2 linked regions of the Rattus norvegicus genome follow. The protein of the gene in region 1 interacts with the protein of each later gene in a pairwise test. Links are inferred from orthologs where the notes say so. Each region holds a gene or a part of one and is shown in the gene's direction. Other genes may lie near its edges. The genes, in order: Ccdc172 and Fam13c.

Region 1 (9,908 bases):
TCATTGGTGACGCCCACAGGTTCGGCACACAGTGAGCGTGAGTTGATTACAGTGGTTGGCACCCAATGAGGATCCTGGTATGGGCGTGTCCATCTCTCCACTTGTCTGACTCTAACTCAGAAGCTGATGCTACTACATGTGCAGCTTGATGAGCCAATTAGACAAGGGGGGCGGGGCTGGCCTGATTGAAATTTGTGTTCCTATAAAAAATGCCACGCAGCTCTAACAAGTCTTTCCTAGTTTCTGAGAGTTCACTAGGTGTCTGTGAACTAGGAAACAGGCCAATCCTGAGTGCTCAGACACCATCATGTTGGATTTCACTGCTTCCTAATGGTGAGGAATACATTTCCAATGTAAGTGACCCAGCTTGTGTCATGTGGTGATGGTGGCCCAAATGGACTAAGACAGTGCACTACTCAATATTCAAGCCAGTAGTCCCATTCCCTTACTGCTTCTAACCCAGTGGAGTCAACTTATTCTGCACATCAATGTGGACGTTCCACTCACACATTGGAAGCACTGAATAACCTATATGGACTCGTGAAAATGCAAAACACCTAATGCTGGTCCCATATGTCTTTCTGCCTTTCCCTTTTCTTTTCTACTAAACTTTCTCCCTTTCTTTTTTCTCTATTGGCAACTCTCCCTAGATTGCCTGTACCAGACATATCACCTCTCCTCTACCATGTTTTGAAAGTGGAGGTGTGAAAAATATTACCTAGAGCCTTATTCTCAAGCTAACCCCTACCCCATTTGACTGACGGTGACCTTCCAAGGAGAGGAGAGCAGGCATCTTTCCAACTTTGTAGCCTTCTTAATACCCAGGGGAAAACTCTAGACTTAGTAGACACTCAATGAATGGTAATTCAACTTAGTTAAACCCATAATTTTTTCTTTATGGTAGATGCCCTCAGAAAAACATAAAATAAATGAATTACTTTTCCCTCCTTTCATCGCGACACACATGCCCCCGGCTAGTGGGTATTCTGAAGCCTGGGTTAGGAAAGTCATCAATCTAAGAAAGAGGAAGAGACGCATTTAAATCAAAGAGCAATAGAGCCCTGTATAAGGCCTCCTAGCAAAACAATCATTGATGACTGCACAGCCCAGGTGCTAAGCGATCGAGAGAAGCATCCGAGGGCAGGGACAATGAGGGATCCTCACTCGTGTTCCAAAGGTAGGCAATTCACTGAAATGTGCACAGATGGGAAGTTTAGGTCTGAGAATCATGTGTGGGCGTCATAATGCAAATAACTGGCTTCCTTTCTAAAGAACATCTGCCGTAGCATCTGAGAGCAATTGTTTATCCTGCTGCCAAAATGCTGTAAAATATAATAATTCTCCATTGAGGTTAGAATTATCCAGGGGGAGAAAGAACTTTTTTTTTAATGTAGCTGTTTTTATTAAATCTTGCAGTTGTTTCTCTAACATGGTGCATAGGAACTGTTCAGTAATATTTGTTGAATGAATGTTGAATGAAAAGCAGGAGCTCATTAAACAGTTGTCGGATGAATCATTTCCCATTTTTAGATTCAGAAGATACATTTTCAGAAAGTAGTATGCCCACAAAGCTTTATCATGTCATATACCATTTTTATTTGGCATAAATTTAAATAATACCACTCTTGCTCTGTACATTATGAGATGCAATCAGCATGCATTGCTATAAGAGGGGAAAAAAGTCTTAACACTATTCACAATGTATGAATAAAGTTAGATTTTAATATCTTAATTTGATGTTACTTTAATTCATTATTATGAAAACTGTAGAGTTTGAACTGTGGGCTTGCATAATTATACGCACCTCAGTAAACAAAATTAAAATTTAAAACATAGCTAATGCCTGCAGTTGTAATACCTCTAAGAAGATTCTACCAAGATTTAAAGGCACTAGAGTGCTGTGGGATGGGAAGAACTTGACAGTGATATTTCTCCCCATCACCCTCCTCTCGAATTTCCAGTGACTTTCTTCTGTGCTCCTGTGTGAGAAGGGCAGGAGGGCTTCCAATGGCTTTCAGAATCCACTCTGCCAAGTTTCAGTACAGACAGGAGCATGTTAAATAACAGAGAGAGTTTGAGTGCAACTCATAAAGCTGTAACTTGAAAAAGTATCAAGTTCTTGGAAACCTGCCTTTCTGTGAGAACAGCCCCCATGCAAGCCCACAGGAAATCACCCTGAAGGGGGCAATGCTAGTAGTCTTGTAGTCTATCTCGAAAAGCTTCTACCTTTGATGGCATTTGTGATACAGTTCAAGAACCTCCACAGGAGTGCTCAAAGAAAATGGTTCTAGGCACAATAACGGTCATTTCCCATCCTTGAGTACATGGAAGAATTTGGTTATATCTGAGCTAGACACATGCACACATGTATCAGAGGACTATAAAGGTACAAAGTACATTCATGAAGAGCTTTAAATGAAATGGCAAAAGTCCACTATGTTTGTGTTATAGTAAGAAAATAACAGCTGAATCCATGACTCTCAACTCCCATTTTCTTGGTCTCCATTTACTTTCCTGTACAAAGTATGCCTCTTCCTGAGACACAGGATTCCAATCCTGAATTGGCTACATTCTAGCCATCGTGAGTGTGGACAAGTTACTTAGCCCTTCAAGTAACAAAAAACATAGTTCTAATAGGATAACTGGCTTGATTAAAAGAACGAATACACATCAAGATTTCAGATAGTGACTCAACTAAGTAGCTCGGTGACCTCATTTTTACTGGTATATTTTGAGTCTGTCAGTCTGTCACCTTAACTATATTAGAAAAGAAATGTCAAAATCATCTTAAATAGACGTAGTGTGTTCAGAAAGTGAGTGCTTAGCAAATAAATAATAAATATTGAACTACTAATTATAATCAAAACACAAGTAACAAAATAATGTTATCATTCCTTATTCATGGGACTTCAAGGTTTTAAATAAAAAGTGCTTGTCAACAAGGGATACCCAAAAGACAGTGGGAAAATTTTCATCAGTACTAGCTTCTGAATAGCTCTGAGTAATTAATTCTTTTTAACTTTATTTCAAATTTCAGTGTGTATTCTGATAGTTCAAACATTAAACTTCATGCAGACATGACCAGATGAAAATTAAGGTAGAAATATAGAATAGATTAAAGTTTTTAACTGAATATATTGTGGCATTAGTGGGCTATTAATTAAGCCTAGTGTATGTGACAAAATTTTCATTTTACTTAATTTTAAGCACATTCAAACTTTCACATTAAAAGTTACTTCTTAAAAGTCTAGCCAGTGTCAGTTTTACATTCAGAGTAAAGTCAGATGTTTATTACAATGTCAATATTTTGACCTACCAAAACTGAAAATATTTCTTAATTAAAAAAAAAATATCATGCAAAAGTCCCAAAGGTGCCTTTCACATTTAAGCCTTAATTAGCAACCACTTTGGTCTCTGACACACATTGTACAGATATCGAAGTGTTAATATTACCAAGGCTTGATTACAAAAGGCAGTGATTAATTTCGGGGCAGACAAAAAAGATATGCTTTGATTACGAAGGAATGATTACGGTGGAATGTCAGACATTGTACATTTGTAGGAGTCTTTGCTAGCCTCCGAGGATACGACTTTGCAAAAGTTTATATTTAGAATCACGGGTACTTTGCACTTTATAATACTTGGAGACTGGGAGTCCCACCTCTAGAAAGACCCCGAACCCGTGAGCGCAGGTCGCTGCAGACTGGTCCCACCAGGCTTCCGTAGATGACTTCTCGCGAGGCCGGTGGAGGCCCCTTTGGCTGGACACACCTGAGGGGGCGTCAGTTGCCAGCCTCTGCCTGTGGGCATCTTTTCCTGGGAAAGCGAGGGGGTTGGGAAGGGGAAGCATGTCCCCAGCCAAAGTTACTGTATCTGTCCCCCAGGCCTTTTCTGTGGGGGCTGCACTCAGCACAGAAGCACGCCGGGCTGTGGGCGAACATGGAGGAGGAATGGGCCCGGCTCTGGGCGAGCATGGAGGAACAAGCCGAGAGCTCCTGCCCTGGGGCTCTGCTGGGCAAGAGTGGGTGGTGCAGGCAGGGAACAGCCAGACAACCCTCTTCATTGTGCTTTCCAGGATCCTCAGACTCCCTTATAAAATATTAAGGGTGAGCTGGCCCGAGATGAGTCTGGAGTCGTTGTTTCAGCACATCATCTTCACTGAGCATCAGGCCGAGGAGAGCCGCAGAGTGATGCGGGAAGGTGAGCCTGCCCTTAGAGGGCATTTGGCTTTTGGAGCTGGGGTTTGCTCTTGGGGGGCATTTGGCTTTTGGACCTGGGTGTTTGCCCCACAGACTGGAGGGGAAGGGGGCACTGTAAGTGGAGTTTGCAACCTGGACAGAAGACAGATGAAAACTCACCTGCCAAGTGCTGCCGTGATGGAGGCTTCAGAAAGGCGGAGGCCAGTAAAGATTTTGTTGGTATTACAGTGAGGTCAGAAATTGCCAGATGTCGCGGGAAAATTAAGAAAGCAACAGAGGATCTGAATGAAGAAAAGATCAAGTTGGAATCCAAGGTATGGATGCATAGACCATGCTAAGTATCACTTGAGGAAGTGTCTGAACTTGGCTTTGGGGAGCAATTTACTAACTACTTATCCATCAACTAGGAAACTCAGCAGCTATATTCTGTCATTCAGCGTTGTCTAGCGTGTAAGGTTCTGAGTCCACGGTCTTTGGTTTTTAACAGGAAGTGGCCCGGAGGAATCCAGACTTAACGGATTCCCCGTCCATTTTGTGGGATGGTTAATGTTTATAAGGAAAAGTGTCATTGGAAGAATAATTGTTCAATAAGTAGTCAGGGCAGCATATAAATGTCAGACAGTAAGTAATTTAAGTGTGCTCCGTGGATGTAATGGGATCGTATGTGTCTTTCAAATGATGGCTTTCTGCTTTCCAACTCACTACCACAGTTTTGGACTTGTCTCATCCTAAGTTATCTTTTCTCTCATTTCTCTCTCCGGCCGCATTTGTAAAGTTCCGCCTTTTAAAAAGTAAGGACCGAGCGAGCCTGGCTGCTTCAAGGAAGTGGTTGAACTATGGATAGAATTTTGAGGGAGAAAAGAGACTTAGTAGGAGAGACCCTTTGTAGCAAAGAGGGGGCGGTTCTTCCCCAGGCACATTGAGAGAGGACTCTGGACAGCCAGCAGAGGGCGGCGGAGTAGAGTTGGGAGGGAAACGTTGCTAGATTTGACCAGAGAGGGGCAGTAAATGTGCTGTTAGGGGAGCTCCTTGTGCTCTGAGCACAGAGATGGGGATGGACAGTGAAGATGGTGAGAGCTAGAGGCCTAGGTCTGGAAGGAGGAATCAGATGTCCAATAGTAATGTCCCAACACCTGAAGGTGAACTAAGGCAGCAGTGCATAGAGGCAGTCTAGTGACTTGATCACTCAGACTTTTTTTTTTTGTTAATACATTTTTAATTTTATCACATATTAAATATAAATTTGTATGTAAAAGGGATGTAAGTTATAAATTTATTTATACATTATATTACTCTAATAACAGCGTATATTTGTGAGGAATTTTCATTTTCCTGTGGATAAAACAATTCTTGCCCGTTCACCACCTGGTGAACGGCCTCTCTTCTCTCTGCATCCTGTCATGCATCATAAAACCCTCCCTGGACAGCTCTGTAAAATCTAAGTGTCAACATGCGCTCCTGTTTGCAGCCCCTCTTTCTTTGGGAGGAATGTACTTAGTTTTGTTTTAAATTCACCTTTATTCTCTTGGTATCTGTTGCTGAGCCAACACTGTACACAGGTGCATTCACTACTGAGGGCCAGTAACAAGAAAAGAGCTCGGTCTTGATAATTCGACAAATAAAGGTTGGGCATGTTTATGGCTTCCATGTTATTTGTTATGCATTTTGTAATGCTCAGCTCCAGATTAATATATCCGTGCCAACATTTATCCTGACTGTGGTGAAAATATTACAAATCTTCAAAGTTCGTCGTCTAGGTCATTAACTGTAGCCATCCTTCTGTGTAGTCGAATACCAGCCTTTATCCCTCCTAACTCTGAGTACCCACCAACCAACCAACCTTTCCTCTCTGCCCCTTAACTAAAAGAAACTATCTTTTAAGACAGAATGTGGGGTGAGTATTCATTGAGCCCAGCTCTTACTTCTGGACTAAAAGAGAAAGTAGGCCAGCGGCAGTGGGGAATCCTGGTGGCATGGGCAAAGGTGTACAGCACCTTCATGTAGCTGTCTTTCCCTGGAAGAAGACTTAAGATGCTTTGAAAGTTGGGTTGGCAAATAGAAGTCAACAGAAGAAAAGGAACATACACACTCATACACATGCACACACTCACCACATACCATAACCACCACACACACCACATACATACACAAGCACACATCCCCCACACACATGCACACACATATGCCACACACCACAACACACACACTACATACATGCCATACCACACATATATCACACACAACACACTACATATACACCATACTACACACATATCATATGCACATGCACACACATACCATATACAAATATACACACACATACCACATACCACATACATACACATGCAGGCGTAGACACATGTCACCCAAACACATACACACACATCACTCATACACACACATGTACACACACACATATCCCACCCCCACAGCCCACATATGTGCACACACACCCCACACATATGCACACACACATGTATACACACCACACACATACTCTACATGGGTGGTGTGGGGCGTTCAACCCCTCTCTACTCCCAGGGTCTCAGCAGCTAAGTGCCCACGTGCAGGGTATTATTCAAGGGCTGATTAACCCCTTTAGTTCTAACAGGAACTCTGAGAGGAGGAGTAATCATTCCCCATTTACAGGCAAGGAAGCTGAGACATCATTTAAATGATTTGTTCATGGTATGTAATAGAAAACCAAATAACTACCACAGTAACAATTGGTTAAGGAAAATATTACTCTATTAAAACAGATTCTTGAGCTTGCATTGAACATTTTTCCCCACGACATACAATAATATGTCTGAAGTGTTGCATCTGGGGTGATATTTTAAAGATCACTTATGTAAGTTGTATAAGGTGTGTTTTTTGGGGGTTGGTGAAGATACTGACCTGACAGGTAGGAAATGTTTCATTTTAAATGAGATGTTTAGGGGTCGGGGATTTAGCTCAGTGGTAGAGCGCTTACCTAGCAACCGCAAGGTCCTGGGTTCAGTCCCCAGCTCTGGAAAAAAAAGAAAAAAAATTAAATGAGATGTTTTTTTCTTTGTAATGTTTCCTTTGCAAGACAAATTATTATTCTGTATAATATCTTTTGTTAGCAGCCTATTTCACCTGAAAATAGAAATGTAGTGTTGATACTACACATGTATAAAGAAAATGTTGATTTAATTGTTTGTGCTAGAGAAAACATAGCAAATCTCTAATATTACTTAAAAGCATTCATGAAATTGCTAATTAATACAGGCTCATAAATGTGCATTTGTTTTTAATCAGCTCATATGCATGGGTAATAATATAATTGTATCTTACTAATAAAACTAGCATATGTGGGTCACAGTTCATACAACACTGATTTGTAATTGAGGTAATTTGATTTATAATTAGAGTCAAGATGGTACGTGTGTATTAAGATTTAAACAGAACTAAGAAGCTAAAGTAAATGAGTAATGGGAAGAGCTAAAGAAGTAATCATAAATTGATTCTCTGTTTCTTTTTCCTCAGAGTTAATTATATATCTGCCAATAACAATGAAAATATATTTACTTGGACATTTGACTTGGTGTTTATTGACCCATTTATCAAACAAGTAGCATGAGGAGACCCTAGAGCAACACGTGAGCTATTGTATACTCACATGCTCAAAAAATATTTGGGCTTACATTTAGGGAACTGCTTGAAGTCAAAAAGCGTATTTTAGGAAGTGCAGTATTCTTTCCCCCCTTGTTCTGTAGAACCTAAGTAGCTTGCAATTAGAACTTGAATGATAGCATCTGTCTTTCAGGGCTGGATGAGTCTCATGAAATATATGGGAGCAAGCAGTCTCAGATCACAGGAGTGCTTTAAGTGACGTGGACAGCTACAGTGCGCCTGGTTAAGCTTGGCCTGTGAAAAGGGAAGAGTGGGAGCTTGGTGTGGTCTGCACTGAGAATGCATGGTGAGGTCTACTCTGAAATGGGAGCATGGTGTGGTCTGCACTGAGAGTGGGAGCACAGTGTGGTCTACACTGAAATGAGAGCACAGTGTGGTCTGCGTTGAGAATGGGAGCATGGTGTAGTCTACACTGAGGCTTGCCAAGGTGCCTCAAACCTCAGTCGTCTATGTTGATGTCTGAGACTAAAATTGAGGCTTGTAAAACTATTGTAGTTTCTCAGAAGCAAGTCACTGAGTTTCTTATATGTGAAAATTGGTATGTAATTATAGTTTGAGTAGTTTTTATAAGCATCTTATATAAGCCCAGTGCTGTGCCATATTCCTGTGAGAGGGAAAGCAGGGAAGGCTTAGGCTGTATTAGCATATTTTACATATTTTCCTTTTTCAACTTATTGGATAAATGTCTTTTTTTAACTTCCTTAATTTTGCAGTTATAATTACAACAGTCCCCTTTCCCTTTCTTCCTCTGAACCATCCCATATAGTTACCCCCCAAACTCATGACCATTTTTTATTGCATGTATGTATATATATGTGTGTAGATACATTCCTAATTAGGACCTGCTCAGTCTGATTAATATTATTTTTATGTATTCAGAAATATCTGAAGAACAATAGAATAATGTTTTATGAATTTTAAAGAAAATATTTTGGAATGGAGTAGCAAAATGGCCCATTTACATTTTTTCTTAGAAATGTAGATGTTCTGCCTTCTGATTGGTGAAGTCAGAACCCTGCCTCTCAGAACTTGAGAAATCATGCTTTGGTATAGACTTAACATGTCAAGGAGAGAACAGCACCAGGAATCATTGTCCTTTATAGTTGTGAGATGCAAGTATTTAGCCGATGTGAAATGTATGCATTAGAGGAAATTTTCTGTGTTGCTTCTACATGGTTTTATTGTTGATTAAAATTTACTTAAAAACAGAGGACTCTGTCAGCTTATGTCACAGCAGAAATTCTGTTTTAGTAACTTTTGGTTGCTGCAGACTTAACTGGAAACCCAGCATTGATTCCTGGCTTTATTGGTTATAACCTCTAACCCTTGTGGCTTCACTCAATAGTGGTTAGGTTTTCTCTTCTCACATAAACAAGTCTGAAAGGGGCGAGAGGGGCCATTTATTAAAGCTGCGAAAGGAGATCATGAAGCCTCTGCTCATTCTGCCCTTGTCACTGTGGATGCCGGCCCCATCCCTCCCTCAGCACTGTTCAGGTCCTTTGCGGTCTTCCCAAATCTAGCCTGGAAGGAGAAAGACCAAGACCAAAAGTCGCTTCTCCTCTGTGCAGCCTGGTACCGAAAGGTTTTAGGATGGAAAGTCTTCGGAAATTTCAACCTGCTGCTGCTGATTAGAACCCTGTAGTCAACACTGGCAGGAGAGTGTAGGATTTCGTTGCTGTTGTTAGTTTGGCTGGGAGGTAAGTTGCTCCTTAGAGACGGGATCTCAGTCTTTAACTATGGCTGGACTTAAAATCAACATCGTCTTAGACGGTCCTTGAACCTTTGTTGGGCCATTTGTCCCAACCTCCTGGGATTACCCAGAGTCCCAAAACACTTCGTTTAGGAGTTTATTATTGGCACCAAACAAAACTGGGGTTGTATTAGTCAAGTAAAACAGTGAAATTCATGGCTGCCCTTGTGTTCCCTCCTAAGTACTCATGTCTAAGGCCGTGTGCTTCTCTGTTTAGAATCAGAGTGAGAAGGATGTTCCCAGGCTACTCTGCCGGCAGGGACATTCCCACCGTCTATCAAATAGACAGGCTTTATTCTCCC
Region 2 (9,413 bases), on another chromosome or scaffold:
TTCTCAATTCAAATGGTATGTTTGGACAAGAAATTACCAGTTGTAGTCATCCTCTAGAGGAACAGAACCTATAGATTAGTGTACATTCTCTCTCTCTCTCTCTCTCTCTATATATATATATATATATATACATATATAATATATAGTATATGACATATTTAATACATAATACTATAATGCTATAATTTAATATATAATTCTATATACATATATACATACGCATATACACTAAACATATGTATACATATACGCATCTACACATACATATACATATATGTATACTATATTATATATGTATATCATACATTTATGCATGTGTGTATATGTTTATATATACACATATATACACATATGTATATACATATTTTATATGTATATGTATATATGCACAGTATATAATATACACAATTACATATTATATTATACAATGTACATGTATTATATAATATGCATAGATGTATATTGTATATTTATATTTTATATATGTTCATATATAAACATAAATGTATATGTATATGCACATATATTTATATATACATACACACACATATATAAACGAGATTTATTAAGACAGTTTACAGGTTATCTATATTCCAACAAAGGCTTGTCTACAAATTGAAGGTCTACGAATTCAATAGTTCTTTCAGTCCACAAGGCTGGATGTCTCAGCTGGTTTTCACTGTGCTCCACAATCCTGAAGAAATAGACTGTAACGGCAGTGAAAGGGTGAACTTGCCAGCAAGATTGAGAGCCAGAAGCCAGAGAGCAAGCTTCCTTCTCCCATGTCCCCTAGATAAGGCTGTCAGCAGGAGGCGTGCCCCAGATTAGAAGTGTGTCTTCCCACCTCCAAGGATCTGGATTAAAGCCGTGTATCTGCATCTCAAATGATTTAAATCTGGGCCGGGTGTAGTGGCACACATTTTTAGTCCCGGAATTTGAGAGGCAAAGGGGGGTGGTAGATCTGTGAGCTCGAGACTAGACTCAAGTGTTTCAGGGATCCTCTGGGAGCATGCCTACCTTTCATCTCCCCCTTAGCACAGGGGAATCTGGACTGGCCCTAATGGGCACTAAGGACCTAAATTAGGAGGGACGGGGAGGAGGTCACACCGAGAATCAGGCTCAGAGCTGGCCTGCGGGGGTGGGGTGGGGTGGGGGGGACCCTGCAGCAGGCTTTGCTTTCATTTTGATTTTGTCCAAAGCACAGTTATGTAATATTTTAGAAAGCAGAACAGCCATTCCTAACTCTGTATATTGGAGTTACTGTGTAATCTCTTTGGTTTCTCCTATGAATGTATGCATGCATGCATGTATGTATGCATGCATGCATGTATGTGTGTACATACGTACACATGTATGCATCTATCTATCTATCTATCTATCTATCTATCTATCTATCTATCTATCCATCCATCTCTCCCTCCTTTCTTTTTTCTTCTCTTTTCTTCCTTTTTGTTTTAGGGTTTTATTACATATACTTGTATGTATGTGTGCTTGCACGCATGATGTCAGGACACATGTGAGAATGACTTTGATTTGGATTTGGTTTCCTTCTCCAGCCATGTGGGTGCCAGCGGTTGAACTCAGCTCCCTCAGCCTTGACCTTTGCCCACCGATGCAGCCATCTTCTCCCTGGCCTGGAGTATCACTCCCGTGCTGTGAACTTTGTGCTTTCTGCCGGGCACGCTCTGCGCACTGTGCATGCTGAAATGGCCTCGAGTTGGAGACTGACTCCTCCTCCCTCTTCTTCCTCTCTTCCTACCTGGCAGATAGTTCTGTTAACCCCCTTTTTCCTCACAGCCTGTATCTGGTACCCAAACTCTGATTCACCCTTAGCTTCTCTCCGCGTACCCTCCGACTCACTCAGATAACATCCAGTGAGATCCTTGTGCTGTGCTGGCCGGGACAACTCCTTCTGGAATTGTCTTCCAACACCTTTGTCGGTGGCTCTGTAATATTTTCCATCCAGGTTTTGCGCGAACAAACATGACAGTGTTTTGAAAGCTTTTCGTCTCTCCAGAAGGGAGACGCGACAGAAACAAGCCACTGACGTTATGATCCACGACAGAAACAAGCCGTTACCACTGACACTACAATCTTTTTTTTTTTTTTAAATTTTATTTTATTGTATATGAGTACACTGTAGCTGCCTTCAGACACACCAGAAGAGGGCATCAGATCCCATTACAGATGGTTGTGAGCCACCATGTGGTTGCTGGGATTTGAACTCAGGACCTCAGGAAGAGCAGCCGGTGCTCTAACCACTGAGCCACCTCTCCAGCCCGACACTACGATCTTATTTAGGAACACGGCAGCCTCGAGCTCTCTGGTCACTTCTAAGCCTGGATCTCTCATCTCGTCTCCCCAGACCCCGTGCCAGCTCATAAGGATGCACAGGGCGACGCCGACGGTACGCCGGATGACCTCCAGTCTGCAGGGACCAGCCGGCTGCTCCATCACATCACAGATGGCGACAATCCGTTGCTCTCGCCACGATGCTCCATCTTTAGCCAAAGTCAGAGGTTCAACCTGGACCCCGAGTCAGCTCCATCCCCACCCAGCAGCCAGCAGTTTATGATGTAAGGAGGCCTACGTCTTCGCTTCCTGCAGTTTCCCCCAAAGACCTTCATAGCACTACAGTGAAATTCAGCTCTGAAATAGGGCAGACGTGCCCGTGGGTTACTCCGTCAGACCGTGATAAAGCAAGGCTTCTCTCTCACTCCCGTTGGCAATACCGTTCTTTTACCGAGGTGTGGGGGGTCCCAGAGAGAGACGGTCACAAGGATCAAAAGACACGTTGGGTGCTTCGGAAAGAGTGAAGAAGCGTGTGTCTTTGCACACTTCTTTTTTTTTTTTTTTTTTTTTTTGGTTCTTTTTTTTCGGAGCTGGGGACCGAACCCAGGGCCTTGCGCTTCCTAGGCAAGCGCTCTACCGCTGAGCTAAATCCCCAGCCCTTGCACACTTCTAAAGTGTCATTCTTAGTTAGCTCAGTGTGTTTCCCAGGCCCAACAGTAGAGGGAAATATACATTGGCAAGTTTCCCCTTCAGCAGCTTGTTAGGTTCCAGAAAAGTAGTATCCCGAAATAACCACGGTCCTCCCCAGAGTCAACGGGCAGCTAGCATAGCAGTCTCCCTCTGTCCGTGCCAGACGTGACCTCCGCATCGGTCATTGAGCAGCATCCCCCTGTGTGCCCAGAAGTGTTCCCCTGCCCCCGTCTGCTTGGGGTCAGTTCTGGGATCTGTGTTGTGGTCCACTCTAGCTTTGCGCAAATACTTTTGACGCGTAGTAAAAAGGAAGACGCCCCTGGCCGAAGCCTGCTCTCTTTCCATGCCCCTAGCGCCTCTCCCGCGGCTTAACTGCCGTTGTTGAGTTTATCCAGGGATCATGGATGATGAACAGGGCGGGCAGAGTGAGTCACCGCAGTCGCATGGAAATTTGCGGGTCATGTTGAGACTGTGGAAATATTGTCTGGAGAGAGAGCCACTCCTTCTGACATATTTGAAAGGGTTTCCCTATGTCAGAATAGTTAACTACCCATTTAAGGCTTGCTTTGAAAACGCCATTAGGTGCAGCTTGCACAACCTGTTGAAGGGCGCACCTCAGCAGGGCCTCTCTTCTGAGTCCCAGGTCGGCCTCACTCTGCTTTGAAATATGCATCTCTTGTGCTGATATTTTGACGTTTGTATACAAAAGAGTCCCCAACAAGATCATCAGCCCATATTGCATGTCACAAGGTCAGAGGTCAACCCAAGGGATGACTTGGTACACTAGCCGCGTAAGGAGCTGCCGCCTGGAATTCTGTGATCTCCCAGGGTTCAGAGGTCAGGCAGCCATGCTCACTGAGACCCTTTCTGAAACTCTTTGTCCGTCTGTATAACCATGGCAGGCCACGAAGCTCTTCCCGATGCGGTGGTGGGGATGGCAAGGAGCCCCAGACCATTACGCAGCTCACTAAGCACATCCAAAGCCTCAAGAGGAAGATTCGGAAGTTTGAAGAGAAATTTGAACAAGAAAAGAAATACCGCGTAAGTACCCCAGGGTTTAACGGGAAGGCCCAGATTGTGTCTGGGAAGCATGCCGGTTTTTCTTGGGTCTCCATCCCTTGGTTGTGGCTGCTCCCTTCCTTGCTGGAGGACAGCTCTGTATCCACTGGTCACCCATACCCCACACCAAGAGCTGAGCTTAATTGAATCCGATGGCGAGTCTGTCCTGCTCTCACCTGTAGGCAGCTAACCTCTGTTAGGAGACTTCCCACTCGCTATAGCTCTTATTTCCCTGGTCTTTCTGAGCATCCTTATTGACACTATGTTTTCTTTAATTAATTAATTAGTTAGTTAATTAATTGACTTTACATGCCAATACCCCCCTCACATAGATCCTTTCCCCATTCCTCCCTTCTTTGAGAAGTGGAGCTCCCATCTGGGTATCACCCATTCACTACTCTCCCCACTTAGACCCCACCCCCTGCCCCCGGCACATCAAGTCACTGCAGGACTAGGCACATCCTCTCCCACTGAGGCCAGATGAGGCAGCCCAGTTAGGGGGACAGGATCCACAGGCAGGCAACAGATTCCAAAGGACATGCAGGACAGGAGCTTATCATAACTGCCCTCTGAGATGCTCTACCAAGCAGCCAATGGAAAGCGATGCAGAGACCCCACAGTAGATGGGATCTTGTGGAAGAGTTGGGGGGAGGATTAAGGGACCCCACGAGGACAGGGATTCCGAAGGAAGACCAACAGAGTCAACTAACTAGGTTTTCTAGATCGAAAATTTGGAGAGCTTCCTGTTGCACTTCCTTCACCCCTGTGCTGATAAGAACTTTGGGACCCAAAACATGTTCTTCCTCGTAACTGAAGAATATAGTGATGGAGAATTTTGGGTTCTGTATGTTGGTTTTTTGTTTTTTTTTTGTTGTTGTTGTTTTGTTTTTGTTTTTGTTTTTGTTTGTTTGTTTTTGCCATGAAGGGACTTCACGGTGGGTGAGTGGTGACTTCTCAGGTGCTACCTGCCGAGGCCACTCACTAAAACCAAACAGAACCATCTTTCTCCAGCAGACCCCAGTCCTTCTGTGGGGCCAGCAGGGTTACCAGCATGGCTTTGTCTTCCCTCACACACGAAACCGCAGAATCACAGAGAAGTGTCTGTTTGACCAAAGGAGCCTATGTTTGCTTTCTTGGTGACCAAAGAGTAGAAAAAAAATTCAAGTTCACAGGGAGTTGCATAAAGACAGTGTGGGTCTCTGGCAGACAGCCCAGAACAGCTTGTTATTAGAATAAAACAGAGCAGGGAGCAATCTCTCAAACATCTTGAAATATTGAAAGGCTCCCTAAGCACTCGGTACAGAGGCAATCGGAAGGTGTCTGTGAGCGCGTGGTAAGTTTTGCAGCAGAGCGATGAGTGGGTAGTGGTCTGTTCCTCCCTTCCTGTCCTGCGTGGCTATGGCTTTGAAGAGAGAGTTTAGGGAGGGGCATCTAGTTTTATAGGAAGGGCGCCATCAGACTGACTTTTACGGCTGTCTGAACCAGGATGCTGCATGGTTTCCACTGAGCAGTCATGACTACTCTCTGTTCACGCAACAGGGTTGCCTCTGCCTACCGTCTCGGTCTTTATCCCGCAGATAAATAAGCCCCGATCCACTGAAGACTTCTAACTAGCTGTGAGCTATCTTTTGAGGCTTGGAGCAGTAAGTTAACAGAGAACAGACCTGAGTGGTGGTGTCGTAGGGTTCTTAGTGTCTATCTTGGGTAGCCCAGTGTTCTGGTAGGAGCTGGTTTCACCTTTGGTCTACTAGAGTTTACCAGACCACCATGATGGACAGCTCTGAGTGACAATGGGGAGTGACAATGGGGGTTCTATTTCGAGCTCGTTAACACCTCTGCCTTTCCTGAGTCTGACTGTTTTAGATTGTAATCCAACACAAAGCCCTGGCAGCCTCCTGTGTCTGCACACGCTACTTCCTATTCTGAGTCATACAGCAGTAACTGAAATTTGAGGACACTCTTGAAGGAACCAGTGTGACCCTTACAACCCTGCAGTGTTGGCTATGAAGGGAGCAAAAGGTCCTAGGTATCACCAACCTTTTAATCTGTCTGAGCAATACAAGCAGGCCACATGATGGGCTCTGTCTTGGGAGGAAAGGAAGGGGACCTGTGCACGTTAAATATGTACTGGGTCCCCACCTGTGCTGTGCACATGCATTATTTTTTTCTAAATCTTATGGCCACTGATGGTTGTCTGTCTTACTTAGGGAATTTCTCTTGGCATCTTTTACCCTGCCTTGAGAAGCTTCAAAGGCAATGAAAAGACAATCGGTCCCGTCACTCCCTGCCTCCTAAACGCATCCACACATGTACCCGCCCCCACACACATGCACCTACATGCACCTGCCCACATGCCCACATACACACGCATGCACGCACCTATCCATGCATACACGCATGCACACAGGCATGCACGAACAGAGGACAGGTATAGATGCTAGAGCAGTAGGCAGGGAGGGTTGATAATTCACTACATTAGTGTTTACCTTCCCCCCCCCACTTCAGTCAGCACCTTATATATCCTAGGAAATGGCATCTGGTTGTGCCTCTTGTCAGGTGCCAAGCTGTGGTCAGAAGCCTGGCAAGCCACCTGCCTGCTTTCCTTCTCATCCGTCGGACAGTGGTGTTACCAGCCTGCTGGTTGTTTCTGAACCTTAGCTCCTGCTGGGCATCTCGGCTTTTGGGATGTCTACATAAACACGTCTTTCTGTCTCTGCCAAATGTAGCCCTGGTTAGAAAGGGCAGTTCATCCAGATGTTCACTATGTTCTCTCTCTCTCTCTGTCTCTCTCTGTCTCTCTCTGTCTGTCTGTCTGTCTGTCTCTCTCTCTCTCTCTCTCTCTCTCTGTCTCTGTCTCTGTCTCTCTCTCTCTCTGTCTCTCTCTCTCTCTGTCTCTCTCTCTCTCTGTCTCTGTCTCTCACTTGGTTTTTCAAGACAGGATTTCTCTGTGTAGCCCTGGCTGTCCTAGAACTTGATTTGTAGAGCTGGCTAGCCTTGAACTCACAGAGATCCACCTGCCTCTGCCTCCTGAGGGGCTCAGATGTTCACTATTAATAGAACACCTTCGGGGTTGGGGATTTAGCTCAGTGGTAGAGCGCTTGCCTGGGAAGCGCAAGGCCCTGGGTTCGGTCCCCAGCTCCGAGAAAAAAAAAAAAAAAAAAAAGAACATGTTTAAACTGGGCAGAGCCAGCCAGACTTTTTCTTACCCAGTGACTGAAGAAACAGGCCCAGAGAGGTGACATGAATTTAAAGAGTCACACAGCCAAGAACCTAGTTAGGACAACTCAGGTCTTTTCATGGTCGACCAGAAGTCTTTCTAAAGTGTCTTATGAATGACCTTTCTTTGTAGGAATCTCCCACAACAGTATCTGCAACAGTAACCTGGTGGCCTCACTTTAATCACCCCTAACAAAGCCTGTAGTTGTGAGTTTGGGTGTCTGACCATAGATAGACATTTCCATTCAGGCACAAAGAGGCCTAAAAAAGCCGTTATGAATGTGTGGAAACTTCGGCGGCTTGGGCGCCATCTTCTACGCAACCTGAAGTTAACCTTAAGAGAGCTTCCCCAAGGGCAGAACCATCAAAAGAAAATTCATTTCTGCAACTGATTTCGGGCTTTCAAGTACTTTGCCATAAAATCCAGCTTCCGAGTCCTCCTCCACCCTGCGGATAGCAAAACACTTACTACCCTGTTGGTCACTGGCTTGAGCTCCTAGTGTGTTTTGTGTGTTTGGTGTATTCCTTTGGTGGTGTGTCGGGTAGATCCAGTGAGCTTCCCTTTTACCTGCGTACACACGTCCTTAGTCTGGAGAATCCTCTGAGGGTTCTAGAGTCCAAATGTAAAACTCGGGCTGTCAATATGTCTAGACAGCTAAGCCCAAAGAATTAGGCTTACACACCAGGGTTCTAAGCATAAGGCTTCCTTCCGGAGACCCTAAGTGGGATTCCATTAAGCAATGTCGTGTCCCATGTCGTCCCCCTCCTTCACTCCCCATGACCAAAGCTTTGGGCAGCCCGTGTCTCTGTCCATGGTTCTGGCAGTCTCGGGCTCCATCACGGGAGGGGCAGTGACTTTTCCTTCAGTCTTCCTTTCCACCTTGTTTTTCGATGTATGTTTCTGTGTCACCCCATAACTGACGGGATCATTCGCGGTGAACACAAACTCTTGTGTATCAGATGATGTCATGCAAAGCTTTTGTGTGTGCCTTTGTTAAGTACCCTGAATGTGCTCTGCCATCATCCTGCGTCTCTCACTGAAGACATCGCTCTGGTCGCACATCTTATGGGGGGAAGTGGGTCTTCACGGAGTGGCTATTAACAGTGCAGGCACAGGTACCTCTGTGAAAGAGGCCTCCCAGCCCTCCCAGCCAAGTTCCTAGGGTCGTCTCAGGTGGGGGTAACTCTCTTGAGCCTGCTTTTAAGTTAGCATGGTAGCTTTGGATGGAGATTTACATTATGATCTGTGGCATAGAGGGAAAGGGTATGTTGCCATATTTATTCATTCATTCATTCTTCATTCACTTTACATCCCACTCACTGCCCCCTTCCTGGTCACCCCTTCCCATAATCCTCTCCCCAACCCTCCCCTTCTCCTCTGAGAGGGTGGACCCTCGTAGGTATCCCTCCACCCTGGCGCATCCTCTCCCACTGAGGCCAGACAAAGCAGCCCGACTAGGAGAACATATCCCATGGATAGGCAACAGCTTTTGGGACAGCCCCTGCTACAGTTGTTTGGGACCCACATGAAGACCAAGCTGCACATCTGCTACATATGTCCAGCCCATGTATGCTTTTGGTTCATGGTTCAGTCTCTGAGAGCACCAAGGGCTAGGCTCACAACCAAAAATATTTTGCCAGTTTTAATTGACTGATTTCTCTTTTCTGGGGACAGTTCACTTTTGTGCTGAGAAGGAATTTGGAAGTGAATGATCTGACTGGCAGAGTCACACATCTCCCTCCATGTGTGTGAGTGTCAGTGAAGACACATGCAGAATTCCTTTGAGGGTTTGGCGGGAATATTCCTGTTACCACCTGTGCTGCTAGTGAGGATAAGCCGGTAACAGTAACATTTACCGTCTGACCTATCACTTCTGCATTGTTCAGCATGCACCCAGAGCTGCTTTCAGTGTTTCATAGATATTAATCCACCACAGGAACTCTGTGAGGGAGACACTGTAATCCTCGCATGTTTAATATGTGAGACGGCAGAGCGTGGAAAAGCTCAATCATCTGCCCAAGGTCAGATGTGTAAATTTCAGTTTCACGCCAGCTCAGTACCTTGGTACCAATAGTGATTAGAAATAGGGCTGTTCCCTCCCAGAGCAGCTATTGGACAATTATCAGGTTTCAGAGACCGTGGGGGCTGCTTTCTT

The links.
Region 2: the proteins of Ccdc172 (region 1) and Fam13c interact in binary tests that used the Homo sapiens proteins (3 or more experiments, as listed by UniProt). The two-hybrid records come from large-scale screens. The link is inferred for Rattus norvegicus from reciprocal best matches to the Homo sapiens genes CCDC172 and FAM13C.

Annotation. Positions count from the first base shown.
Region 1 is NC_086019.1:267,611,612-267,621,519, forward strand, and holds the start of Ccdc172 (coiled-coil domain-containing protein 172), read left to right. Parts: upstream 1-3,752; 5' UTR 3,753-3,802; intron 3,803-4,075; 5' UTR 4,076-4,121; coding exon 4,122-4,200; intron 4,201-4,427; coding exon 4,428-4,513; intron 4,514-9,908.
Region 2 is NC_086038.1:18,082,308-18,091,720, reverse strand, and holds part of Fam13c (protein FAM13C), read left to right. Parts: intron 1-2,365; coding exon 2,366-2,576; intron 2,577-3,884; coding exon 3,885-4,023; intron 4,024-9,413.